7 linked regions of the Macaca fascicularis genome follow. The protein of the gene in region 1 interacts with the protein of each later gene in a pairwise test. Links are inferred from orthologs where the notes say so. Each region holds a gene or a part of one and is shown in the gene's direction. Other genes may lie near its edges.

Region 1 (3,500 bases):
TCATGTACTAGATGCCACTTTTTAAAGGATTACTATGTTCAATCTTACTTAGACCTCAAGTACGTATGCTCAACAACTTATGAAACAAAACTTCATATCTAAAATTGTTTTCTAGAGAGGTTTTGGTTTATCTTAAAATCATATTACAAGCAGTTAGAAGTTTTGTTAATATTTTATAAGAGGAAAATTACATGCTTTCCCAATTAGGTTGTGAGTTACCTGAAGGAAGATGAGAAAAATAAGAAACATATCTCCCCCTGTTGAGTTGCCATCAGTCTTACTGTCTTTGGTCTATATTTGTTCCATGTCTTGTGCGGAACCTGGAAAAGTAGTAACTCAATAATTGTGAATGATATGATTGCATGTGTTTGAATAAATGAGTTATTACCAATTCTTCCTCACTTTTTTTCAGACTCCCAGGAAGGAAATTACAAGTCAGAAGTCAACAGCAAACCCAGGAAAGAAAGGACAGCATTTACCAAAGAACAAATCAGAGAACTTGAAGCAGAATTTGCCCATCATAATTATCTCACCAGACTGAGGCGATACGAGATAGCAGTGAATCTGGATCTCACTGAAAGACAGGTAAAGCTGGACATTGTCATTATATGATCTTTTTTAATTGCTCTGGGTCCACAGTTTTCTTTGCCATATTTGAAATACCTAGATCCAGAATTCTTCAATACCATTTGGAAGACAGGTATACTATTCCATGATAAAATTTTGCCAGCAAAATGACAAAATTAAAAATAATATAATGATATTTAAAAGAAAACCATACTTACTGAGTTTAAGAAAGAATCCTCCTATGATTATGATCCTTCTGTATTTTTTGGTTTTAAAATATTATTTCTTTTACATAATGATGGCATACAGTGAGGAATTGTGTATGCTTATATGCTAAAATCTCCTTATTTGGCATATGAGAAAGTTGGTAACCCCAGATTAGTTTTCTGTATTGCTCAGGATAGGGTATGTTACCCTGCAGTAACACGTTCACCCGTAAACCTCAATGGCGTAACACAAAAATATTCATTACTTACTCACTCTCCATACAAACTCTACATGTCCAGCATTCCAGATAATCGCTCACAGACCCATTCTGACTCTTTAACATCTCAACATGTGGTGTCCGTGGTAACTACAAGAAATAAGAAAGAATTGGAAGTTTATGCACTGACCTTTAAATGTTTTCACCTGGAAATTACCCATGTCACTTCTATTTACACACTGATGTCTAGAAGAGTCAAATGGTGCAGCTTAGGTGCAAGATGGCTGGGAAATGATGAAAGGCAAGGTCACATAGATCATTGGTAAATATTTCTGCCCCATTACCCAACATATTTTTGAAATTGAATGGCTCTCAGATATTGAAAAATCTGCTATCCACTTAGAGAATATTTTGAAATTATTAATGTTTTTGGACTCTAATTAATGAGACCTAAATAATATTTTTAAATTAATTGCTTTTCAGGTCCCTTTCTTGCATTTTTTTAAATGACAAATGATTTGTTCTAATAGTCTTCCCAGTGAACTCCTTGTACAGATTCTGGTTTCCCCAAGGAGAATCTAGCCTACTGCCGGTTAACAGTTGCTAATCTTTACAAAAACATTCCTGAAAGGCGAATGCAAACATCTTTATGGACAGTGCAGTTATGATTGGCACTCTTAGGGCTAGAGTCTCATTTCCTCTTTCACTGTGTGTACCTCCTCCAGGATCCCATTGGAACCAAAGAAATATCAACAGGGTGTGGACAAATGAATGCATGTCTTACTAGAGCAAATTATTTTATCCAATTTCTTAAATAATCTGCTTTCCTTCTGTTAATTTTTACATTTCAGCTTTGGTAGGTTATTTATGGGTAGTAGAAATATGCAGAGGAACACTTTTCTCTGGTTTTATTTATTGGCAGTTTATATTTTATTACATATTATGACTAGTACCTATGTTATGGAGCGCAGCATTTTCCTTCCCTTGGACTTCACATACAAAATTCCCTCTATGTATTCAACATTTGGCATGCTGGAAAGCAGGATCCAAAATCTACATCATCAGACCTTTATTTTATTATTATTTTTTTAAAACAGGGAACAGGAAAATAAAAAGGTGTATGTGGAGGGAGAATTACACAGTAATGTTCTTATATAGAGATGGTGAACTCTAGGAAATGCAAGCGTGTTTTATACAATACATGAAGGAACTAGGAACCTAGGATTTGCTTCCAATATGTAGAAATGACAGGATGCACTACTGTGCTCTCAGCCAAGATGAAAAACAAGATTCTGTACTTGCCAGTTCGGGGATGTTCTAGGGTTATCTGTCATTGACCATGGAGCAGAATCATTTATTTTTAGAAGCAGTTTTGGAAATCTGGTTTGAAAATGTTGAAGGTGTCTTGGATATTTCTTCTTTCTAACTGACTTGACAAGCTTGGTAAAGAATTACATGCAAGAATTACATATAGATATACATACTATTTCAATGTTTTTTGAAAGATTCTTTTAAAATTTTGTGTTAGCTACCCTTTGCCGTGTAACAAACAACTCCAAATCTTAGTGGCTTCAAATAATAACTAAAGTTTTATTTGCTTTAGATTTTGTAGAGATTTTGACTGGGCTTAGTTGGACAGTAATACTGCTGGCCCTACATGGAATCCTCATGGAGCTCCAGTCAGCTGGTGGGTTGACTAAGAAAGAGATGGTTGGGCCTCAGCTGGGACAGCTAGTCTCTGTTGCTTGTGGCTTCATCTTCTTATAGGCTAGCTTGGGATCCTTCCAATGGTGATAGAAGCATTCCCAGGAGCACTGAGGGGAAAAACTCTAGTAAGCAAGGGCTTTTCAGGCTTCTTACGTCATATTTTCTAATGTCCCAATGTCCAAAGCAAGCCACATGACCAAACTCAGTGTCAGTATAGGACAGAACACTTCATTGGAAGTCATTCCTGAAATAATCTAACCACAGCATCACGAGGGGAAAATAACAAAGAATATGAGAGATAATTCGGTTTTCACTGAATTGAAAATTTGTTACTGTGCACAATATATTTTTATTTAATAAATCTCTATGTATAGTTTTGCAAGTTAATGTGAAAAGATGTATGCATGCAGAATTTAAATTCCTAATCAACACTAAGTCTTTAGAAGGCCACATGGGTTAGTCAAAAAGAGTGTAATTGTTTTGAAAAAAGTCTGAATAAAAATCCAAGGTTTGCCGATTAGAATTGTGTGTTCTTAAGTAAGTAACAATCTCCCCAAGGCACAAAATGGAAATTAAAACTACCTGCTCTTTCTTCTATGTAGATTTGTATATCATAATGGATATGAAATAATTTTTAGCATAAACTATAAAACAGAATTATCACCCAGGTGGGAAAAACCTTTGCTATGCAAAGTATGTTGAATTAATCCTTTTGTAACACAAATATTTGTTGAGCTAAGTGCTGGAAATAAAATCTTCTTAAAATAAGCTAAAGAAATACCTGTTAGAATTCGCAGAAGAG
Region 2 (3,500 bases), on another chromosome or scaffold:
GGTTTGAGGCCAGCCTGGGCAACATAGGGAGACCACCCCTCCTGCCCCACCGCACCATCTCTAAAATGAATGAAAGCGTGTCCTCTGGTCTCCTCCTCTCATGAAGATAATCTTTATTCTTCCGTAGATTTTTATGACATCTGCGACGAGGACTGCCATGGCAGCTGCTCAGATACCAGCGAGTGCACATGCGCTCCAGGAACTGTGCTAGGCCCTGACAGGCAGACATGCTTTGGTAAGAAACTCATCAAAGGTAGAATCAGGCTATTAGGATTGAAAGGACAAATCAAAAACTCTTCCTGCCTCAGAGCGCCATCATTTTCCCAGTTTGTGTCTCCAAACACTTGGAATGGCGTTTCCTTTTTAGTTTATACCTGGACTGAAAGCCCCACACCAAATTTGTATCACGGTTAGGGACAGTGGAGAATTGTGCCCTCCACTAGAGTAGCCACAGGTGGCCATGGCTCACTTGAAATGTGGCTAGTATGACGGAAAAACTGAATTTTAATTTAATTTTATTTTAATTTTAAAACCAATGTTTGGCCACGCACGGTGGCTCACGCCTGTAATCCTAGCGCTTTGGGAGGCTGAGGCTGGCAGATGGCTTGAGCCCAGGAGTTCAAGACCACCCTGGGCAACAAAGAAAAACCTCATCTCTACAAAAAATATGAAAATTATCTGGGTATGATGGCATGTATCCATAGTCCCAGCTCCTCAGGAGGCTGAGGTGGGAGGATCACTTGAACTTGGGAGTTCAAGGTTACAGTAAGCCATGACACCACTGCTCTCTAGCCTGGGTGACAGAGCGAGACTCTGTTTCTAATAATAATAATAATAATAATAATAATACTATCTTTAATATTGGTTATATATAAAAGTGAAAATATTTTGCATATAATTGGGTTATATAAAATATTCTTAAAATTAATTTCACCAGTTTCTTTTTTAAAAATTTTAATGTGACTACTAAAAAATTTTAAATATGTAATTTGCTTTATATTTCTATTGGACAGCACTGGTTTAGAATTATCTAAGGACTTACTCCTCTAGCTTCACTGATATAATTTTGGTCATTCTGAGTAGCAAGAAAGATGAGTCAGATTATCCATAGGAAATCCAGAGTTGTTGAATTGTATACTATGTTGTCTATAACTAGAAGAGAACAGAGATGAAAACCCCAAGATTGAATATCATCTCTCTTTCTCTGTAATGTTATGAAGGTTTTGGATTCAGACTCAAATAGATTTAAAACAAGTCTAGAGAGAAAGGGGAAGATTGCCCTACCTGGTCCCCCAAGAAGAACAGTAACAGGTCAGGATTGAGGCAGGAGATTAAGGTGAAAGGAGCATAAAAGGCTTATTGGTATTTGTTTGTTTGTTTTTGAGACAGGATCTTGATCTGTCACCCAGACTGGAGTGCAGTGGTGTGATCTCAGCTTATTGCAGCTTCGACATCCTGGGCCCAAGTGCTTCTTGTTTTAGAAAAGCTTTTGCTCTTCAGTCTCCTAAATGAGCCAGGGGCAATGGCTCATGCCTGTAATCCCAGTGCTTTGGGAGGAGGAAGCAAGAGGATTGCTTGAGACCAGGAGTTTAAGGCTAGCTTGGGCAACATAGTTAGACCCCATCTCTATAAAATAAAAAATAAATTAGCCAGGCATGGTGGCAGCCTTCCAAAGTAGCTGAAGTTTCAGCTGAGGCAGGTGGATTGCTTGAGCCCAGGAATTTAAGGCTGCTGTCAGCTCCAATTGCATCACTGCACTCCAGCCTGGGCAGAAGAGCAAGACCCTGTCTAAAAAAAAAAAAAAATCATAAATACATCAATAAATAAAACCTCCTAAATGAACCCCACTGACCATCCTGTGGAGCAGGTTTCAGCCCTGCCATAGGAGTTGTTAGGGGTCTGGTGTGGTTGATTCTGAGTATGTGATTTAATGCTAAATGGCTTGGGGTAGGGGCAATAGTGGTTCCTGAAATCTCTCCCTACCCTCATGTATTCCTGTTCAAAAATATTTGGCTTTATTTTAAACCAGGAGTTGTTTATGCATTTCTTTGCTTTTGTTTTAATACAACTCTTGAAGAGGTAATACATTTAAATGGTTCTCAAATTAAACAACATGAAAAAGTATACAGCAGGCTGTCAACTCTCAGTCACCCTCTTGCCCCATTTCCCTCTTCCTCAACTCCATCCCAAGGAAACGGCTGTATTATTTTCTTATATGTGCTTCCAGGGTTTCTACAGTCAGATTTTAAAATGCAAATATATATATGTGTATTAGCCTGTTCTCATGCTGCTAGTAAAGGCATACCCAAACCTAGATTTATAAAGGAAATTTACAAAGGAAAGAAGTGTAATTGACTCACAGTTCCACATTGCCGGGGAGGCCTCACAATCATGGCAGAAGATGAGGAGAAGCAAAGTCACATCTTACATGGCAGCAGGCAGGAGAGCATGCGTAGGGGAATTCCCATTTATAAAACCATTGGATCTCGTGAGACTTACTCACTACCAAGAGAACAGTGTGGGGGAAACTGCACCCATGATTCAATTGTCTCCACCTGGCCCCACCCTTGACACGTGGGGATTATTACAATTCAGGGTGAGATTTGGGTGCAGACAGCCAAATCATATCAATATGTTTACTTATTGGCCATTTTTAAACATCAAAGGTAGCGTATCGTTCACTTCTCTTCCTTAATTTATCTTAGACAATCTTTTTCTATCAAAGCCCCAAGTTCCTTTGAGGGATCTGTGGGACTTCAGGGAGGTGAATCCTCTGAAACTGTAGACAGTGTTTTGTGTTTGTGAGCATGTGTCAATTTTCCTTTAGTTTTTATTTAAAAGTAATAATTTTATTTATTTTAAATTACATAATTTGTTCAGGCAGCATACAAGAAAATAATATAACAGACCCTCATGTACCTAGATTTAACTAGAGTTAAGTTTTGCTTCCTTTTTTTCTTTTTTTTGAGATAGAGTTTCACTCTTTTGCCCAGGCTGGAGTGCAATGGCACCATCTCAACTCACTGCAACCTCCACCTCCTGGGTTCAAGTGATTCTCCTGCCTCAGCCTCCAGAGTAGCTAGGATTACAGGTGCCCACCACCACGCCCGGCTAAATTTTTTGTATTTTTAGTAGAGACAGGGTTTCACCATGTTGGCCAGGCTGGTCTTGAGCTCCTGACCTCAGGTGATCCACCCGCCTTGGCCTCCCAAAGTGCTGGGATTACAGGCGTGAGCCACCGTGCCCAGCCCTCTTTTTCTTTTAATTTAAATAAAATTTTGTAAATACAATAAAGCCATCCTACCCCATCCTGCTTTCTTCTCTCACCCTCCAGCGGTAATGACTGTTTTGAAGTTAGCATGTGTTCTTCTGGTCCCATTTTAATGCTTTTATTATTTATGTATATACCCATAACAGTAGATAGCATTGTTTTGTGTGTTCTTAGAATTAACATAAAAATGGTACCTTCCCCAATGTGTGAGATTTTCTCTAGCAGGTAC
Region 3 (3,500 bases), on another chromosome or scaffold:
TTGAATTTTACAAGTATGCTTTTACTCCATAGTTCTTACGATTAAATGTATGAAATCAGCCTCAGGCATTAGACAAATGGAGAGCTTTAACACACACAAATGAAACAGTAGAAGCACATACTTTTCACAGACTTGGCCACTATTTTCCTTTACTGTGATTTCTCTCTACTGCAGACATTAGCTGGCTAGTAGCAAAGGGATGTAATTACAGTGGCCACATTTACTGAATGCTTACTATGTACCAGCAGTTAAGCACTTACATGGATTATCTCATTTAGACTTTATAAAAACCTCACAAAGCAAGTAGTATGGTGAGGTTTGATTTATAGTTAAGAAAACTGAACATGAGAGAGGTTTAAAAAAACATCTCAGAAGGTACAACTGTAAAGTGGTGCATTTTTATCACACACGCTCTGCCTCTAAAGCCCAGATCCATTACCATTACCTATTGGTCTGGTTGGCAGACCACACAGGTTCTAGGCTTGGCTCAGGTACAGACTTGCTCTGTGTTCCATCTATGTACAATAAATAATGTCAATGTCCTCCAGGGGAAAAAAAAAAGCCCTAAGAACACACCTGTAGTTGGACAAGATTGTATTTATTGACTCATTGCAACAAGTGAGAATATAAAGCATGGGAAAGTGTAAAGTACCTTGAAAAGTTATTACAGGATTTGAGCTCATGTTAGGTGAGGACACGGGAGTAAATCTATTGAATATTTTAATAAATCTTATCTAGAAGGTGGGAAGAACAGAGTGACCCAAAAGCTGCTGGAAAAAAAAGAAAAAAGAAAAAAAAAAAAAAAAAACAGTTTTTTGGTTTAAAAAAATCAACCAGGATAGGGGGATGTTGGGTCATTTTCGTGATTTAGACAACGTTCGTGTCTGAGTCCAAACATTATAAAGTGGCCTTGTTTCTGCTTTGATCCAAAGTCACAGAGTAGCCTTGTCTGATACTGTGTTCTTTGATATTACCGATGTCCAACGGAACACCAAGGCCTAGCTGACGCCTGACCAGTCTCTGCGGCTTTTCCCTTGCTTAATAACAGCAAGCAGTTGCAGCACACTGACTGTGTACCATGGACTGCTCTTAGTCCGTACAAGCATTAAACTCAATTTTAATCTTCTCAAGAAACTCTGACATGGGTACTAATTTTATAACAAGGAAATAGGCCGAGAGGTTAACTGGCTTACCTGAGGTCACCCCGCTGAAAAATGGTGGAGACAGGTTGAGAACGCAGGCACCTTGGCACTCAGCTGAGGCTCCTCACCACCACCCTAGACTGCCCCTCAGAAACCAAGAGTTCTTTCAGAGGTAGAGAGGCAGAGCAAGCTCTTGAGCCTGCCTCCTGAAACCCTGCCTTTGCTTCTCCTTTCAGCTCCAAGACTGCCCTGCGCATTGGGAGCAGCGATACCCAGCTGGATGAAGTGAAATCAGTACCAGCCAAAAGCCACCTGGTGAACCACCTCAATTGCCCCATGTGCAGCCGGCTGCGCCTGCACTCATTCATGCTGCCCTGCAACCACAGCCTGTGTGAGAAGTGCCTGCGGCAGCTGCAGAAGCACGCCGAGGTCACCGAGAATTTCTTCATCCTCATCTGCCCAGTGTGCGACCGCTCGCACTGCATGCCCTACAGCCACAAGATGCAGCTGCCGGAGAACTACCTGCGCGGGCGCCTCACCAAGCGCTACATGCAGCAGCACGGCTACCTCAAGTGGCGCTTTGACCGTTCCTCCGGGCCCATCCTCTGCCAGGTCTGCCGCAATAGGCGCATAGCGTACAAGCGCTGCATCACCTGCCGCCTCAACCTGTGCAACGACTGCCTCAAGGCCTTCCACTCGGATGTGGCCATGCAAGACCACGTCTTTGTGGACACCAGCGCCGAGGAACAGGACGAGAAGATCTGCATCCACCATCCATCCAGCCGCATCATCGAGTACTGCCGCAATGACAACGAATTGCTCTGCACCTTCTGCAAGTTCTCTTTCCACAATGGCCACGACACCATCAGCCTCATCGACGCCTGCTCCGAGAGGGCCGCCTCACTCTTCAGCGCCATCGCCAAGTTCAAAGCAGGTCCTCCCCTTCTCCACTCCTTCAGCCTAACTTCTAGTTCAGGAACACATGGGGAAGATGGCGTGGGGCAATGTGCTAAGTGAGTGCCTTAACAGATTCCACCTAGTGGAGCAATCAAGGCACCAGGAAACACTGTGCTATCCTGCAAGTCACTATCCTGGTGTCCGCTCCTGGTAACCACTACCAGTCACTTAACTTCTCCGTGCCTTGCTTTTCTCACCTATGAAATAGGGGAATAGTAGTGACCCCCTCACTGGATTGCCATGAGGATTAAGTGAGTTACTCTATGTAAAGAATGCAAAAAGTCATATGACAAGTGCATAAAGATTCTATAATCTTGATTATAATCTGCATGTCCTCAGGTCTCATTTTCTCTTTTGGAAAATGAAGACTTTGATCCTATAGTATACTGACGTTCTGTGACGTTCTAAGGTGTTCTGTCACTGTTGGATCGCTTTGGTTTTCCTAAATGTGCAGGGGGAAAGAATTAAGTCAGTGCTGAGAATTATCTCAATGTTAAATTTCCCTCCATGAATTTTTTCCAAAACTTGCAGATGCCAAAGTAAATAAACGGGCAGCAAACATATAACAACAGGGACAATTCATAACTAGCCAATGGTATTCTAGTCAACAGCTTGTTTTTCCTCTGCATTCTTGTTCGTGGTGATTTGGTTGTTTTATATTGTTACATATAATATTGCTTTAAGTGAAATAATATTTCAGTGATGGTTTCAGTGATGGAACCAAGCATAATAATATTTCACAGGATTCAGCAAAGAGCCCATAATTTCTTGTTTCAGTGACAAAACCAAGTATAATCATATTTCACAGGATTCAACAAAGAGCCGCATAATTTCTGGGTATGTCTCTACCTGGTCAGACATTAGAATCCAAAAGATTCCTTTAGTGCCCTTTACCCTCAGGAATAGTTCCTTGTATAAAGGCCAACTTTACTCAGGCCTGTGGAGCACATTTTGTCTAATCTCAATAGTGCTACAGTACAGGCATTAAAATGTCCTCCATGGATAAGCCAACTGTGGTTCAAAAAAATAATTAGGACAGGCAGCTAATAAGTGGCAGATGCAGTCTATTTGACTCCAGTGTCCACCATTAATTCCACAACATTTATTTGACAATCTACTCTGTGCTAAGCAGCGACCAGAATCTGAAGATGAAGAGATTGAAGGGGAGGAAGGGGGAACCACCACCACCATCCATGGTCTGTTTCATTAAGGAGTGGCCTGCAGTCAGTTACCAAAGTGCACCAGATCAACCCAGGCCTTTCCCATTGTCAGATCTGTTAGTCTCCAACATTCAGATAGGCCTATACATTGGGAGGGAGGCAGCTTTTCCTTGAGCTGCACAGAAAGGTCCCACTGGATATAAAGGTGGGTCCAAAACAGGCTTTGCTAATGACCACATCA
Region 4 (3,495 bases), on another chromosome or scaffold:
ATGACGTCCTTTGCTTTCTTCAGGTCGACGTGGAGAATCCTGACCTCGAGAAGTTCCCCGAGTTTGCCAAGGCCCCATTCCTGTCCTGCATCCTGTCTCCTGGAGAGATCCTGTTCATACCCGTGAAACACTGGCATTACGTGCGGGCTCTGGATTTGAGCTTCTCGGTCAGCTTCTGGTGGTCGTAGCCAGGCTAGGAGCTGAAAGGGCCGGACATGCAGACAGCACTCATCTGTTCACTGTGCCTCACCTGGTGCTGGGTCCTGGAATCAATAGAGATAAGCGGGACTGAACCTGTGTCCTGAAGAGCCTTCACTGCCCAGTGGCAGCCCTGGGGGGGCTGAGCTTCAGCACTGGGCGGGCACAGAGCGGGGGCTGCCCAGGAAGGAGCACACTCCAGGCCGGGGGTGCATGACAGAGGAAGGTGGGGAGAGCCCAGGAGGACCCTGCAGGCAGACAGCCTGCTTGGGGACGCCGGCATCAGAAAGCCTAACGTGTTTGGGAAACGGATGGGTCACACGGGCAGGGGTGAAACGTGGGCTCTGAGGTTGGCTATTCGACCCAGACCCGGCCGCGCTGTGTACCTGCTGCGTGACTTGGCCAGGATCCCCCGCTTCGTTGTGCCCACGTGGAAAAGAGGGCAAGGCCAGTCCTCACTGCAGAGGGCCGAGGAGGCAGTGCCGAGCCCCTGCTGCTGCATGAACCTTAGCCGCTGCCACTGATCCCAATTACTCTGATCCTTCTGCCCTTCCTTCCCTTAACTGGGCCTGCTGGACGCCACAGCCTGAATACTGGAGAGAGCTGGGCATTGCCCAGGTCACAGGAGAGAGTCCATAGGGGCCTGCTCAGGAGCCCAGACCCCTGCTGGGCAGTGGGAGCTTTCTGTCATCCTCGTGGCTAAAGGATAACCTACCTGCTGCAGTGAAGTGCAAAGGTCTTGCTGGATGACTTTGCACCCGCACTCATCCAGGAGCAGGCTCCCAAGTGAAGAAACCACTGAACCATCACCAGCCCCTGGAAGCCTCCCTCTAGCCACCTTCTAGTCACCATCCCCCAGAAGTAATGACTCTCAAACCGGTGGAAGGTTTGAGGCCGGGGGGACACCCAGGCTCCGTGCTTTCTGTAATTGTGTCTTGTTTGTGTGCACGCAGGTTTGTTTTATGTTTTGGCCATTAACACTTTCCCCAGCCCTCTGTTTTTTGTTTTTTAAACTAAATAGAGATGGGATCTTGCTATGTTGCCCAGGCTGGTCTTGAACTCCTGGGCTTAAGCGATCCTCTCACCTTGGCCTACCAAAGTGCTGGGGTTACAGGTATGAGCCACCATGCCAGCCTTGGCTTCTTTCTTCCCCCCTTCCAAGACAGGCCTGGGGAAAAGAGCCCCGGGGGTTCAGCTGCCATCCTGCCAGCACCTTGACCACTGGCTCAGCTGCTTGGCTTTTAGCTAAAAATCAAGCCGCCTCTGGTTGGCCAGGGGGTAGCTACCCTGGGGTAACTAGAAGGGGGATGGGAAGGTGGCCACGGGCAGCTGGGACTCTAGTTCCTGATGCCCTCTGTACCCAGGCCAAGGAATTTGACCTTTATTGGGTAGGTCCTGGGGTTCTCGGCCTTTGAGCAGACACCAGCAGCATCTGCACTCTGGAAAGCTGGCTATTGGCAGGGAGAGGCCGTGGCACTTACTCATCCTGGGAGTGGCTGCTGAGGGGCCGTGGGTCTGCCAGGGACTGACACACACAACAGCTATCTGGAAGTGGAGTCCACTTGGCTCCGTGGGCAGCTGCTTGCAAGGACATTGTTTATTCCCTGCCATTGTTAATAGTCAATTACCTAATCTTTCATAGGAAGAATTTACACCAGATGTCAACACCCCTGAAAGTAGGGAGGCATAAAACAGGGACGCCCCATGACTAGGTTCACCATTAGTGAGGAGCGGTGGCTCCCGGCCCGCATGTGTAACTCACACCCCTTCCCCAGCGGAGGGACAGGCGGGTTGTGGCCTCAGCTCCCAGTGGCCCAGCCGCTCCATCCGCTCCAGCTGGCAGGCCCCATGGCCCATCTGTAGCGTAGTGTGACAGAAAGCTGGGCACGGGAGGCCACGTTCAGTAACGTATGGTATCCTGGCCAGGAGGCTTCCAGCAAATGTCCCTTGTCAGATGAGGAACGGGAAAAGGGGAAATGGCCCTGCCCTGTGGGTGAGGTTCCAGCGTTCCTACGAATCCCAGTCTGAGGGTGACTTCAGCCCTCTGAGGAAGGTGGACTCTGAAGCCAGCTTGGAACCCAAGCGCCGAACAGTTGGTCACAGACCAAGGAGAGGCACGTGCACGAGCCCCTGCCTGAGATGTGGCCACAGCAGTCAGGACACTGATACTGCCATCACAGACACAGGACACAGCTAGCAGGCCTGTCACTGACCAGATGAGGCCCCTGCCCTCATGGTATTTTAACATAATGGCGTCAGGCTGGGGTGCGGGGGGGGAAATAAGGACATGGGAATACAAGAAGACAGTGTCACGCCGTGATTAGTGCCATGAAAGCAACAGAGCAGGGTGACAGGGTGGAAAATGGCAGCCAGGGATGGACTGGTGGGGCCAGAGTTTTTTGATAGTTGACATTTGAAGAGCAAGAGCTTGACTAGGAATCCAGAATCGGCCATGAGACTTGAGGCCCAGCTCGTGACAGCAGGTACAGCAGCCCTGAGACAGGAAAGCCCCAGTCTGGGGACAGGGGAGGTAGGAGTCAGGGCGGCTGGGGCAGAGAGGGGGGATGGTAGGAAGGGGGATATCAAGGCCATGGGGCCTGGGGGACCAGCAGGGGAAGGCACTGGGGGGCTCAGCCTGGGAGGGACAGGTCTGCAGCCGCTGTGCAGACAAGGGCCTACAAGGGGACCCTGGGAAGCAGGCCAGTCCGTAATTCCTGAGTGATAAGGTCGGGGCACCGGCGGGGGAGCATGGCAGTGAAAGAGAAGGCTGGCGGGGTAATAAAGGCTTTGAATGCCAGGCCAGTGTCTGGAACTCACAAGGGTTTTGGGTGAGTGCCAGTGTGTTGTGGGATGTTCACATCAGTGTCATCATGGAGGTGTTGGAGGCAGGAGAGACGAGCAGCAGGGGGGCCGGTGTCCCCAATGGTGAAGTGCCCAGAGGCTTCCGGAGTCCCCAGCCAGGACTGACTCGAGCACAGAGAATGAACGCCCAGAACCACGGGACAACTGGGTCAGTCATGAGCTGCCCTGGCCCCTCCTGAAGGCGGTATTTGCTGGTTGGCTTTTTGCCTCCTGGCGTCCATCTTCCCTTCTTCCAGAACGGCACACTGATTGCACTCTGGAGAATGACCTCTGCCCCAGGGACGCGGTCCTGGAAGGTCTGTACAGTCCTCCCTGGACTGGCACCTTGAGGGCACGTCGGGAGGAGCGTAGACAGGCTGGAGCTGACCCCCTGTGGCAGCAGCACCCACTGTCACAGAATTGTCTTGACATCCATGACCCTTATTCCAAGGTCTG
Region 5 (3,500 bases), on another chromosome or scaffold:
AGGCTGAGGTAGGAGGATTGTTTGAGCCCAGGAGGTCAAGGCTGTAGTGAGCCGTGATCAAGCCATTGCACTCCAGCCTAGGTGACAGGGCAAGACCCTGTCTCAAAAAAGAAACAATAACATTTAAATAAAAGATATTATCATAATATATTTCTCTTCATTTTAGTATATTTCATTCTATTCTTGTCTGCATACTTTTTTCATTTTTTTTGGAGATGTAATTTATACATCATAAAATTAACTCTTAAATTGTACAACTCAGTAATTTTTAGTATACTCAGAGTTGTGTGATTATCACAATTATCTAATTCCAGAGTATTTTTATCACCTGCAGAATAAACCCTGTACCCATGAGCAGTCACATCCCATTCCCTCCTCCCCTCCGCCTCTGGCAACCACAAATCTTGCTGTCTTAAGGATTTGCCTCTTCTGGACATTTCATATCAGTAGAATCCTACAAATTGTGGTCTTTTGTGACTTGCTTCTTAGCATCATGTTTTCAGGATTCATCCATCTTGTAACCATGTATCAGTACTTTGCTCCTTTTTATGGCTGAATAAGAGCCCATTGTATGGACATACTGTTTGTTTATCTTTTCATTAGTTGATAGACATCTTGATTGTTTCCACTTTTTGGCTATTATAAATAATGCTATTATGAGCATACAAGTTTTTGTGTAGACATATGTTTTCATTTCTTTTGGGTATATACCCAGTGTATAATTGCTGGGTCATGTAGTAACTTTATGTTTAACTGTCTGAGGAACTGCCAAACTGTTTTCCAAAGTGGCGGGACTACTTTACATTCCCTCTAGCAGTGGGAATAGTGTGAGCATTCCAATTTCTTCATTCCTTTGTTGACACTTGTTGCTGTCTATCTGTTTGATTTTAGCTGTCCTAGTGAGTATGAAATGGTAGCTTATTATGGTTTTGATTTGCATTTCCCTAATGACAGTTACATACATTTTGTCCTTATTGTTGTAATCATTATTGTATTGGTAGTGTTAGGGGTTTATAAACTTGTTGTTTGGCTGGAAAAAAAAATCTAATCTTTTCCCATTGTTTGAAAGTTACAAGACATCTTCACATCCATTATCTAATTTGATTTCCTCAAAAACATCATGAAATAGGGCAAAGATTATTTTTATTTTATGAAGAAACTGACCATTATGGAGGGATTCTTCCAAGGTCCTACAACTGATAAATGTAATAGCTCTTCCTTGAGCCTGGGTCTTTGAGTCTTTATCTCTTTGTCTCCCAAATCATGTTGCCATGTTGAGGAGCTTCATGGTTTATGTCCAGGGGACTCGGATTTTTTCTCTGGTTACCTTACAGCTGTAGATCCCACAGGTCACAAGTTTGTGATCCAGGACTTCTACTATATTTAATGTTAGCTGCCATGTATTGATAACTTTTTCCATGCATTCTTGCTAATTCTCCAACTCTTTCTCATATTTGTATAAATATCTTTCAGACCTTTCCAGCTCACCCCCAGGGCCTTATGGTCAAGAAATGTATGTGTTTCGATCTGAGGAAAGATTCAAATCCCCACCCATCCTTCCTCCTCATCTACTTCAAGTTATTCTTAACAAAGACACTAATATTTCTGTGAGTATCCTCAGTATTACTGGGGCATCTGGGAGTGTCTAGGACCATTTGGACCAAAGTTCAGTGATCCTGGAGGTTAGGATGATTACAGAGGTGTGTTGAGATTACAAGTCATACACATATCAGTAACATTACAGATTGCCTTTTTCCAGTGCTGAGTCACAGCTGCTTCAGCCATTCATATAAAAAATCGTAGTTGTCTCCTCATCGTAATAAAATCAGGATCAGAGCTATGGACTTCTGTTTGAGCACAGCATGAAGTAGTAGTTATCATTTGGGGATGTACGAAAGAATTATAAAAGTTTTTTTGTATATAATTTATGTCTGTATTCAATCTACTTGATTCCTACTATGATTATTTTTACCTTGTAACACAACTCTTCCTTGTGTGTTGTGGGCAAGATTTTTGTTCTAACTCTCTTAAGGAAGATTAGTAGATGCTGAGGCGTAAGATTTCTGCCCTGGACTGATAATTTTTCTAATTTTCTGTAATAGGATTTTATTATTGATACATACTGGAGTGGGTACATTATTGAAAAGAGAGAGCGCATTCTAGTTTAAATTTCTCAAAGAGCTCTGAGGAAGAGTAAGCTGTTTGGTTTGTCTGTGCCTTAATTTCATTTAGTAATTTTTTTCTCTCTCTCTTAGTGTGACCCAGCCTTACTCCCTGAGCCCAACCATGTTATGCTGAACCATCTCTATGCATTGTCCATTAAGGTGAGTGGTGGCCCTGGCTCTTCACAGAGCTCCCTGGAATGAGAGGTCAAGGGTAACATATGTTCTCAGTGGTTACTTTCTCTGCTATTTCATTGAAGCTGAAACTGGCAGTAATGATCAAATTATAGAAGAACTCTCTTTTTTTAACTAATAGGTTGTTTGTTTTAAAATCTCAGTCTCTGTGTTCTGGCTGGCTGAATTGCCCTCTGATAGGACTTTTTTGCTGCCCAGTTGTTTTTTGGGTGGCTAGAATCTTTCCACCAGCTATTTACTTAAGTTTCAGTTCATAGCATAGGATTTATTCTGCAGAAAAAGCAGGTTTAGCTTCCAGTTCAAATTTAGCTTCCAGTTCAAAGAATGCTTTAATGTGATATTAAGGCTTTCACTTTTTTGAAGGTGGAATTGAGCTACTTTCAGGTGCCTCATTCATATATACTCAGGTGCTTGCATCTCTCCTATACACGAGTTAAAGGAGAGATGTGACCAGATTTGCCCGTCTCTTCAACTCCAGAGTCCTCCTTGGTTTTTCTGCTGCTTTAGAGTCTGGGTTGAAAATAGCCATTCTGTTCTGTCTTGTTGTGTCTTTGTGGTTTGGCTATTGGAATAAAGTTATATAGCTCTGTGATTATCAAACCAGGCTGATTATCATCAGAGTCTTCTGGGGGAGATTGTAAAAATACAGATTCAGCAGCTCCATTCCTAGAGATTCTGAATAAGTGCATCTAGGATGGGCCCTATAGTTTTTTTAAGCTGCTTTTACTTGGCTATATAGCTGGATTCGGGAAATCACTGATACAGCTAACAAATTATGTGGTACAATATAACACTTAAAAATATATTATTGAATTTAATTTTTATAATAACCTTGTAAGTATTATTTTTAAACCCTGTTTTATAGATAAAGAAACTAAGGCTCAGAGAAGGTCAAATTGCCAGTAAGTACCAGAGACAGGACTGCTGAGGTCCAATCCGCCTATGCTAACTTCATATTCTTTCCTATATTATCATTATGCCAGGTCTTTCCAAGTAGGTTTTTCTCACCTATTCCTCATTTCCACAAAACCTGTGGAAGTGTAAAAGTGAATTTTTTACCTGCCTTCTGTCGTATTTAGGCTTTGTGTCAACTCTGGAGTGTTAACGCGAGAAGCATTCATGGTAGATAATACAGTATGGGGG
Region 6 (4,287 bases), on another chromosome or scaffold:
CCGAGATTGTGCCATTGCACTCCAGCCTGGGCAACAAGAGCGAAATTCCGTCTCAAAGAAAAAAGAAAAAGTAAAAAAGAAAGAAAGAAAAAGGATCTGGGCATTCTCAGTACCTTTTCTGATCTTTATCTTCGGGAAAGCCATCTCTCTATCGTTCAGCAAATAAATACTGGGCTGAGTATCTGATGAACTGCACTCTGCATAGGTTGCATTCTGAGAGAGAACTTGGGCAGTTTATCTTTTCTGGGATTTGGTTTCCTTATCTCTAAAATGAGAAGGCGTGTTACTTCTAGACCATCATCCCAAGGGTCCATTTTAGCTTTAGCATGCATCAGTGTAAAACCTGTTAACAAATATTTGTTGAGAGAAGGAATTCTGGTGTATAGCCAACATTGTGGGAATATTTGTGGATACCTAAACAGTGCTTTATCCTCTGGGCAAAACAGTTCCAACAGCTACTAAATACTAACAAGGCCTACGGCTAAAATCAGGTAGCACCTTGTGATGTAATTCAAACCACTAGAACATGTGGCATGCAAGACTACATCAGGCCACTTAGGTATTTATTAGTTAACAATTTATTTATTTATTTATTTATTTTTGAGACGGAGTCTCACTGTCTCCCAGGCTGGAGTGTAGTGGCGCAATTTCGGCTCACTGCAACTTCTGCCTCCAGGGTTCGAGCGATTCTCCTGCCTCAGCCTCCCGTGTAGCTGGGATTACAGGCGCCCGCCACCATGCTTGGCTAATTTTTGTATTTTTAGTAGAGACGGGGTTTCACTATGTTGGCTACGCTGGTCTCGAACTCCTGACCTCAGGCAATCTACCTGCCTCGGCCTCCCAAAGTGTTGGGATTACAAGCGTGAGCCATCGCGCCTGGCCTAGGTAACGATTTTTCCGCGTTTAAATGATTGCCTACTGACCTGAAGAGTGAAAGCGGAGTACCTAAATATCATACTGTATACGTTAAAAACAGGGGAGAAAGGAAAAAAGATGTTAAAGTTTACAGCAAAATGAGAAACAAAGGAGGAAAATAAGTGAAAACTTCTTCCGAAACTGAGACTCAACCTCTACATTTTACCCTAGGTAAAATCTTACCTAGGGTAAAATTGCCCACAGGTCTCAAGTGTTTGGATGCACTGTCCAGGCCAAGAGGAAAGATTTTCAGCCAGTCTCCAAAACATCTCAGGGACGGGTAAGGAAAACAGGCGTAAACTGTCTGTATTGATCAAATCAACCCCAGAGAAACTTTCCTAGGGCCGGAGAGCATCTCAACCGCGAAGGTTCATTTGCGGCCTCCTTCTCCACTTCAGGCCTGCAAAGCGGCCGACAGCATTCGCACTGGCTAGGCAAATCGCACAGCTAACGGCCCGTGCAGACTTCTCCGCGTTAGCCCCGCCTCCTGAGGCGCTTCCGCCGCCGGGCTCCTGGACACGCCTCCTTTAATTGGCTAACGTCACGCTGGGAGTGGGCGGAGACAATGTGTCAGACTGTGCGGTCACTTCCGGCCCGGGAGCGCGCGGGTTGATTCGTCCTTCCTCAGCCGGGGGTGCTCGTAGCTCGGAAATGGCGGGTAAGTTCCCGGGAAAAGTTTACCAAGGGGAGGAGGCGGCCAGATCTGGGATAGAACGCTGAGACGGTGGTGACAATGCCCGCCTGGAACTTTCGGGCTGTAGCCTGGGTTCCAGAAGGCCTGCTTGGGACCGGAAGCGCGGAACTCTCAGCCCAGCAGCTCCCTGTTGGCCGCGGTCCGCGCCCCCGCCCCCAGCTGCTTGGGGTTCTGCGCCTTTTGCGAGCACCCCGGCCCCTACCGAGGGCCGAAGAGGCCGGGGGAAAGCGTCAAGATTTGAGCTTGTAAAATGCCACATGCCTTGGGGCCTGTTTCTCTTCCCATTCCTTTTGTCCACTGCTGCTTGCTTCAGATCTTGTACATCTGGTCCTGTTCCCGCCAGCTGATTTTAATGCTCAGATCTCCTCCTCTTCCAGGTCTCCGTCTACCTTCCAATACAGTCAACTTCTGAGCTAGCGCATTGCTGACTTGCCCTGCTCTAGCGCTCCCACTTGGATCTCGACTGACTTCATAATCGTCTCCTTAATCTCTCACACTTTAGTATTCCGAGGATCGTATTTAGATGCCTTTTGAGAAAGACTTTGTTCCTCAACTCCTCCCTTCTCTTTTAGGGTTGGACTACTATAATACAATTCTCTTGAGTACATTCTAGCGTCCCTTCAACTTACAACATTTAATAATGTATAATTGCTATTACTTTGTACGTGTATTAAGGCTGTTTTGGTGTGATTATTTTTTTCGATTACTTATCTTTTGAAGTTATGGACAGTTTCTTTTTCCTGAGACAGGGTCTCTCTCTCTGTCGCCCAGTCTGGAGTGCAACAATCATAGTTCCCGGCAGCCTCCAACTCCTTCTACGCTCAAGCTATCCTCTTGCCTCAGCCTCCCGAGTAGCTAGGACTACAGGCATGCACCACAACATTCGGCTAAAAAAAACACTTTTTAAAAACCTTTTAGAGAGGGGGTCTGGCTGTATTGCGTCAGGCTGGTCTGGAACTCTTGGCCTCAAGCCATCCTCTCGCCTCTGCTTCTCACAGTGTTAGAATTACAGGATTGGGCCACTTCGCTGGCCTCTGTTGCTTTTATCATCTCTTTACAGGGCATTCCTCGTAGTCTCCATTTTTATGGATATGTGGGATAGATGAGCTGTTGTGTGAGCTCTAGAGATGTTCAAAGAAGGACTTTTCTACCAGATAGAAATTGTAGGATCTTGAAGTACAACAGAAGAGGGAGGACATACGTTAAGAATTACATCTAAATTCGAATTTGGGGCCCATCATTTAGTAGTTGGATGCCCTTCAACTCAACCTCTTTCTAAGCCTGAACTTCTGAATATAAAGTGGAGTTGATATAATACCTACTTACAGAATTGTGCGGATTAAGCTAATATATGATTTCGCAGGTTAAATTTTGTTGCTTACATTCCTCAAAGTAAATTCTGTAATCTTAGTTCTGTAGATTAGGGTCAGCGGGATTAAGTAATGTACTCTAGTTCACTGAGCTCACTAGCTCAGTAAGTGTGTGAAATAGTCAGAATCCAGAAATTCTGACTCCAAACTGTTAATCTATACTGCTTCAAGTCTCCCATTTTCTGTGTGTGTGTTTTAACCCCTTATTGAAGTTCATAGCACATCTAGCACATCATTGTACCCATTTTTACTTTTTGCTTATGGCTTTTTTCTGCCTGAAATTTTACTAATTTTTTTTTTTTTCGGAGACTCTGAGTCTTGCTCTGTCACCAGACTGGAGTACAGTGGTGCGATCTCCTCAACCTTTGCCTTCCAGATTCAAGCAATTCTTCTGCCTCAGCCTCTGGAGTAGCTGGGACTACAGGCGCGCACCACCACGTCCAGCTAATTTTTGTATTTTTAGTGGAGATGGGGTTTCACCATGTTGGCAAGGATGATCTCCATCTCGACCTCGTGATCCCCCTGCCTTGGCCTCCCAAAGTGCTGAAATTACAGGCGTGAGCCACCGCGCCCGGCCCATTTTTACTAATCTTTATATTCATTTTGTCAGGAGATTTGTTACCTTGAAAGTTTCTTTTGATAGTGATATCTTCTAGTGTTATTTATTATATATATTATTGAGTAACCACTTTGTAGTAAAACTACTTTATTGTGCCAGTAGCTCACAGTTTATGACTTTAGGCACACATGATTTTTAAATATTTAATACAGTGGAAAGATGTTTTCTTTGTGCCCCTGTTCCTCTTCCTTCTTTCTTACCTAGGGTAACTGTGGTTACCAGATATTTGTGTATTCTTCTTGAGACATTCCATGCATTATCATTTCCTTATCTGAAGCACTCTGGTAGACTTTTTCCAATACTTAAAATGAAATTCTGTCATAATTATCAGAGGACATTCTCATTTTGCTTTTTACATCTTATAATGAAAAAGACGACTTAGGTATAAATCTTAGCAGATTATTTGTATTAGTAAATGTTCAGAAATGTTAGTAATCTATCATGTTAATTTTCAGGTTTATTCATTTATATTAAGTATGCCTAGTTTATAAACTTGTATCTCAAAAGTGATTTCTTTTTCTGTTTTGTAATGAGGCACCTTTTTTTTTTTTTTTGAGACGGAATCTTGCTCTGTCGCCCAGGCTAGAGGGCAGTGGCGTGATCTCAGCTCACTGCAGCCTCTGCCTCCCGGGTTCAAGAGATTCTTCTGCCTCAGCCTCCCAAGTAGCTGGGATTACAGGCACCTGCCA
Region 7 (3,500 bases), on another chromosome or scaffold:
GAAGGACGAGGTCTGCGTGAATCCCTACCACTACCAGAGAGTAGAGACACCAGGTATGCTACCTGGCCCGCCTGTGGGGACAGCAGGTGCTGGGGTCGTCACCTCTCCCCCGACCCCCCCACCCCCCCCGAGGGTCTGTGGTGCACTTGGGGGTGCGGGGACTTTGGTGCTGGTCTGGCATCGACACTGAGCCACCTCTGCTCTGTCTCCCCCGGACAGTTCTACCTCCTGTGTTGGTGCCACGCCACACAGAGATCCCGGCCGAGTTCCCCCCACTGGACGACTACAGCCATTCCATCCCCGAAAACACTAACTTCCCCGCGGGCATCGAGCCCCAGAGCAATATTCCAGGTAGGCACGTGGGCGGCATAGGCTGACCTGGGAGGCAGGGGCAACGGTCAGACATCAGTCCTGTGGCCCCAGTCTCTGCCCCCTGGCCGTCCCCCGTTCATCCCCTCTCTCTGCACAGCTCTGGCCTGAGGGCCCCTGACTCAGAACCACATCCCTGTTGGGAGAGGACCCATGACCTCAGCTCCCCCCTTACTAGTGATGCTTTTTTTGGCATAGAGGAGCAGCGTGACCCTTCCGCCCGGCCTTGGTGCAGTCATTTATTTTGGAAGCGGAAATAGCAACACTGTTTCTCTCACCGCCCATGAGGCCGGGACTGGCGTTCAGTCCCCAGTGGACCGGGGGTCTGCAGAGGCGGGGAGTGAGCTGAGGGCCAGGCAGCAAGTGCGGAGAGCTGGTTCTGTAAATTCGCCTGGGCATCGGGCCTCGGTGAGGGGCCCCAACCTGGGTGGGAATTGAAGGAACTTTGAGTTTTCACTCTGCAGGGAGAAATGGGCTTTGCTGTCAAAGACTGCAAATGTTTTTAGAAGCCCCTCATTTACATGCAAATAATGTGTGAATCACCAGCACTTTCCGACTCCAGGAAAGCTGTGCTTGGCAGCACTTGGGTAGTCACTTTTGCTTGCTGGGGCAGTAATCCTGCTGCGTTCCTCTTAGAGCATGCTAATTTGGACGTGACGTTCATCCTGGGTTAGTTTACTGAGCTGAGGTTGGCTACAGACCTGTGTGCTTGGGTCAGAGTGTTAAGGAGAGACCCACTGTCCAACCTTCTCAGATCCTTTGCGGGTAGCCCTGGCGTCCCAGGGGTAAGTCAACTACTCTGTGTTCAAATAGCAAACTTTGGAGGGCTTCAGTCAGGGTCTGGGGGAGGTTTCAGAGAAGTAGATCGCACTGTGTTTGCGACCATTGAATTTGTAACCTAACTGCTGAGTGAGGACACATCCCCTAGAGACGGTAGAGGGTGGGTCTGAGCCTGCAGGTCTTCAGAGGACAAAGAGGGGTGAGGCAGAGGCAAGTCCAGACGCCTCCCTGGAGGGGGTGGGGCTTAACCCTCACCTTGAAAGACCAGGAGAAGTTAGCCTGGTGGAGGCTCTAGGAGTATACACTTCAGACGTGGGAGTTGGTCCGGTTGTGCGTGAGCAAAGGCAGTTACGATCCAAGTGGGAGTCAGAGGTGGACAGGGGCGAGGACAACAGAACCAAGAGCTGGAACCTCTACTCCGAGACCTGGAACTCCTGCAGCCAGGGACACTAGCATCATGGTGTGCATGTGTGATGTGTTTGCAAAAGGTGTCTCAGAGCCCAGCTGTGAAGGCCTTTTAACGGACCTCCTTCCTTCTCATTCCCAGAGACCCCACCCCCTGGCTACCTGAGTGAAGATGGAGAAACCAGTGACCACCAGATGAACCACAGCATGGACGCAGGTCAGTCATGCAGGCATATGCTCTTATTCTTAACTGATTAGCAGCCGGTGGGTTCAGCCCTTCCATCCCTTCCTGTTCGCCCCCTTCCTCCCTCTCTCCTCTCTCTCTCCAGTATTTGTAGAGCAACCATGATGTGCAAGGGGCAGGGCATAGGAGAGGGTCCGAGCTGCCCACGGATGATGGGGGAGATTGACAGGACAGCCAGCAGTCACTGGGCCATCTCGTGTGTGCCCTCATGGAAGATGCCGCATGGCACCAGGCACACAGCAGGGCCACTTCATCTGGTCTGGGGAGGAACAGCACCTTGCAGTCCAGGTTTTTCCCCACGTTGAGTCTTGGTGATGTGTAGGTGTTAGCCTAGCCAAGCTGTCAGAGTGGGCAAGGGGTGTGCCAGGCAGAGTCATGGGAATTGGGCAATTCTGGGTGCATTCTGAGCCTGGTGCATTCTGGGGACAGTAAGAGCTCGGTGTGTCTGGAGTCCGGAGAGTGTCCAGCCCAGGGAGCTCAGCATGACTGGAGGATACACTCTCTCCAGTGGGGAGAATGATGGGAGGGCCTACCACACAGGGCTCCGGGTGTGATGGACCTTCAAGCTGGCAAGACCACTTGGCATTGAGTCAGGGCTGATGGGAACCACTGCAGGCTGTAAGCAGGGCCTGGGCCTTAGTGAGATGTCACCGGCAGCAGGGTGGAGAGTGGCCTCGATCACCTCAAGAAGTCAGGTGGGAGGCAAGAAAAGACTGAATGGAACTAATGCCTCTTCTGATGACCAGTGGAGACCCCTGAAGCCAGTATTTTTGTGTGACAACCACATGTGATATGTGTGCTCCTGCCGTGAGGGGCAGGCTTTAGTTCTCGCCTGCTACATCTCCAGATGTTTTCCATATCATTTGTTATAGGACCAAATTGGCTCCAGACCAGCAGCTTCTTGAATTGAACCCCAGCTGCCACATAGAATGTGTACTGAGTTGTGTGTGGTTGGGAGAGGGGGAGAAGGGGAGAGGGAGCCACGCAGATGTTCCATTCTGATGGTGGTGGGCATGCCTCATACGCACAGAGCCGCTAGACACAGCGGAGCCACCTGCCCTCGCACACAGCCCAGAAGAGATTGTGCGGTTCCTTCCCCCACCCGCCCCAGACGGAGTCTCCCTCTGTTGCCCAGGCTGGAGTGCAATGGCGTGATCTCAGCTCACTGCAACCTCTGCCTCCTGGGTTCAAGCTATTATCGCGCCTCAGTCTTCTGGGTAGCTGGGATTACAGGCAATGCAGCACCACGCCCAGCTCAGTTTTGTATTTTTAGTAGAGACAGGGTTTCACCATGTTGGCCAGGCTGGTCTCAAACTCCTGACCTCAGGTGATCCGCCCGCCTCAGCCTCCCAAAGTGTGGGATTACACCGCATCCAGCTGAGGTTGTGCAATTCCTGAGAGAACGAAAGAGATTCGCATGTCCGTTGTAGTTGCTGAAATCCAGCCTGGACATCGTGGCACTTTTGGGTTGAGCACACCCGGTGGAACACACCCGCCCGGCGGAGTGGCTAGCAGCGCGAACCAGCTGGAATGCATCGAAGACCTTCCTGTATCCGATGCCAAGAGACGGCTGCAAGCTTGCAGCTCTTCAGTGCAGGCACGGGAAGCAGGCCAGTGGAGCAACATGTCTCCAGCTGCTGTGTGTCTCCCCACTCTGCGCTCCCTCTTCCCCCTCTGCTGCTCTCCGTATTTGCGCAGTGAT

The links.
Region 2: the proteins of MEOX2 (region 1) and OIT3 interact in binary tests that used the Homo sapiens proteins (3 or more experiments, as listed by UniProt). The two-hybrid records come from large-scale screens. The link is inferred for Macaca fascicularis from reciprocal best matches to the Homo sapiens genes MEOX2 and OIT3.
Region 3: the proteins of MEOX2 (region 1) and TRIM42 interact in binary tests that used the Homo sapiens proteins (3 or more experiments, as listed by UniProt). The two-hybrid records come from large-scale screens. The link is inferred for Macaca fascicularis from reciprocal best matches to the Homo sapiens genes MEOX2 and TRIM42.
Region 4: the proteins of MEOX2 (region 1) and KDM8 interact in a two-hybrid assay, tested with the Homo sapiens proteins (2 studies listed by BioGRID). The two-hybrid records come from large-scale screens. The link is inferred for Macaca fascicularis from reciprocal best matches to the Homo sapiens genes MEOX2 and KDM8.
Region 5: the proteins of MEOX2 (region 1) and PRKAB2 interact in binary tests that used the Homo sapiens proteins (3 or more experiments, as listed by UniProt). The link is inferred for Macaca fascicularis from reciprocal best matches to the Homo sapiens genes MEOX2 and PRKAB2.
Region 6: the proteins of MEOX2 (region 1) and HAT1 interact in binary tests that used the Homo sapiens proteins (3 or more experiments, as listed by UniProt). The two-hybrid records come from large-scale screens. The link is inferred for Macaca fascicularis from reciprocal best matches to the Homo sapiens genes MEOX2 and HAT1.
Region 7: the proteins of MEOX2 (region 1) and SMAD3 interact in binary tests that used the Homo sapiens proteins (3 or more experiments, as listed by UniProt). The two-hybrid records come from large-scale screens. The link is inferred for Macaca fascicularis from reciprocal best matches to the Homo sapiens genes MEOX2 and SMAD3.

Annotation. Positions count from the first base shown.
Region 1 is NC_088377.1:114,566,473-114,569,972, forward strand, and holds part of MEOX2 (homeobox protein MOX-2), read left to right. Parts: intron 1-412; coding exon 413-585; intron 586-3,500. UniProt on the Homo sapiens protein: Mesodermal transcription factor that plays a key role in somitogenesis and somitogenesis and limb muscle differentiation. Required during limb development for normal appendicular muscle formation and for the normal regulation of myogenic genes.
Region 2 is NC_088383.1:73,470,731-73,474,230, reverse strand, and holds part of OIT3 (oncoprotein-induced transcript 3 protein), read left to right. Parts: intron 1-127; coding exon 128-235; intron 236-3,500.
Region 3 is NC_088376.1:43,537,831-43,541,330, forward strand, and holds part of TRIM42 (tripartite motif-containing protein 42), read left to right. Parts: intron 1-1,378; coding exon 1,379-2,076; intron 2,077-3,500.
Region 4 is NC_088394.1:26,301,814-26,305,308, forward strand, and holds the end of KDM8 (bifunctional peptidase and arginyl-hydroxylase JMJD5), read left to right. Parts: exon of another isoform or gene 1-23; coding exon 24-188; 3' UTR 189-2,995; downstream 2,996-3,495. UniProt on the Homo sapiens protein: Bifunctional enzyme that acts both as an endopeptidase and 2-oxoglutarate-dependent monooxygenase.
Region 5 is NC_088375.1:113,073,662-113,077,161, forward strand, and holds part of PRKAB2 (5'-AMP-activated protein kinase subunit beta-2), read left to right. Parts: intron 1-1,473; coding exon 1,474-1,607; intron 1,608-2,255; coding exon 2,256-2,324; intron 2,325-3,222; coding exon of another isoform or gene 3,223-3,285; exon of another isoform or gene 3,286-3,300; intron 3,301-3,500. UniProt on the Homo sapiens protein: Non-catalytic subunit of AMP-activated protein kinase (AMPK), an energy sensor protein kinase that plays a key role in regulating cellular energy metabolism.
Region 6 is NC_088386.1:67,464,675-67,468,961, forward strand, and holds the start of HAT1 (histone acetyltransferase type B catalytic subunit), read left to right. Parts: upstream 1-1,487; 5' UTR 1,488-1,566; coding exon 1,567-1,573; intron 1,574-4,287. UniProt on the Homo sapiens protein: Histone acetyltransferase that plays a role in different biological processes including cell cycle progression, glucose metabolism, histone production or DNA damage repair. Coordinates histone production and acetylation via H4 promoter binding.
Region 7 is NC_088381.1:43,874,575-43,878,074, forward strand, and holds part of SMAD3 (mothers against decapentaplegic homolog 3), read left to right. Parts: coding exon 1-53; intron 54-219; coding exon 220-351; intron 352-1,085; exon of another isoform or gene 1,086-1,154; intron 1,155-1,430; exon of another isoform or gene 1,431-1,609; intron 1,610-1,696; coding exon 1,697-1,771; intron 1,772-3,228; coding exon 3,229-3,408; intron 3,409-3,500. UniProt on the Homo sapiens protein: Receptor-regulated SMAD (R-SMAD) that is an intracellular signal transducer and transcriptional modulator activated by TGF-beta (transforming growth factor) and activin type 1 receptor kinases.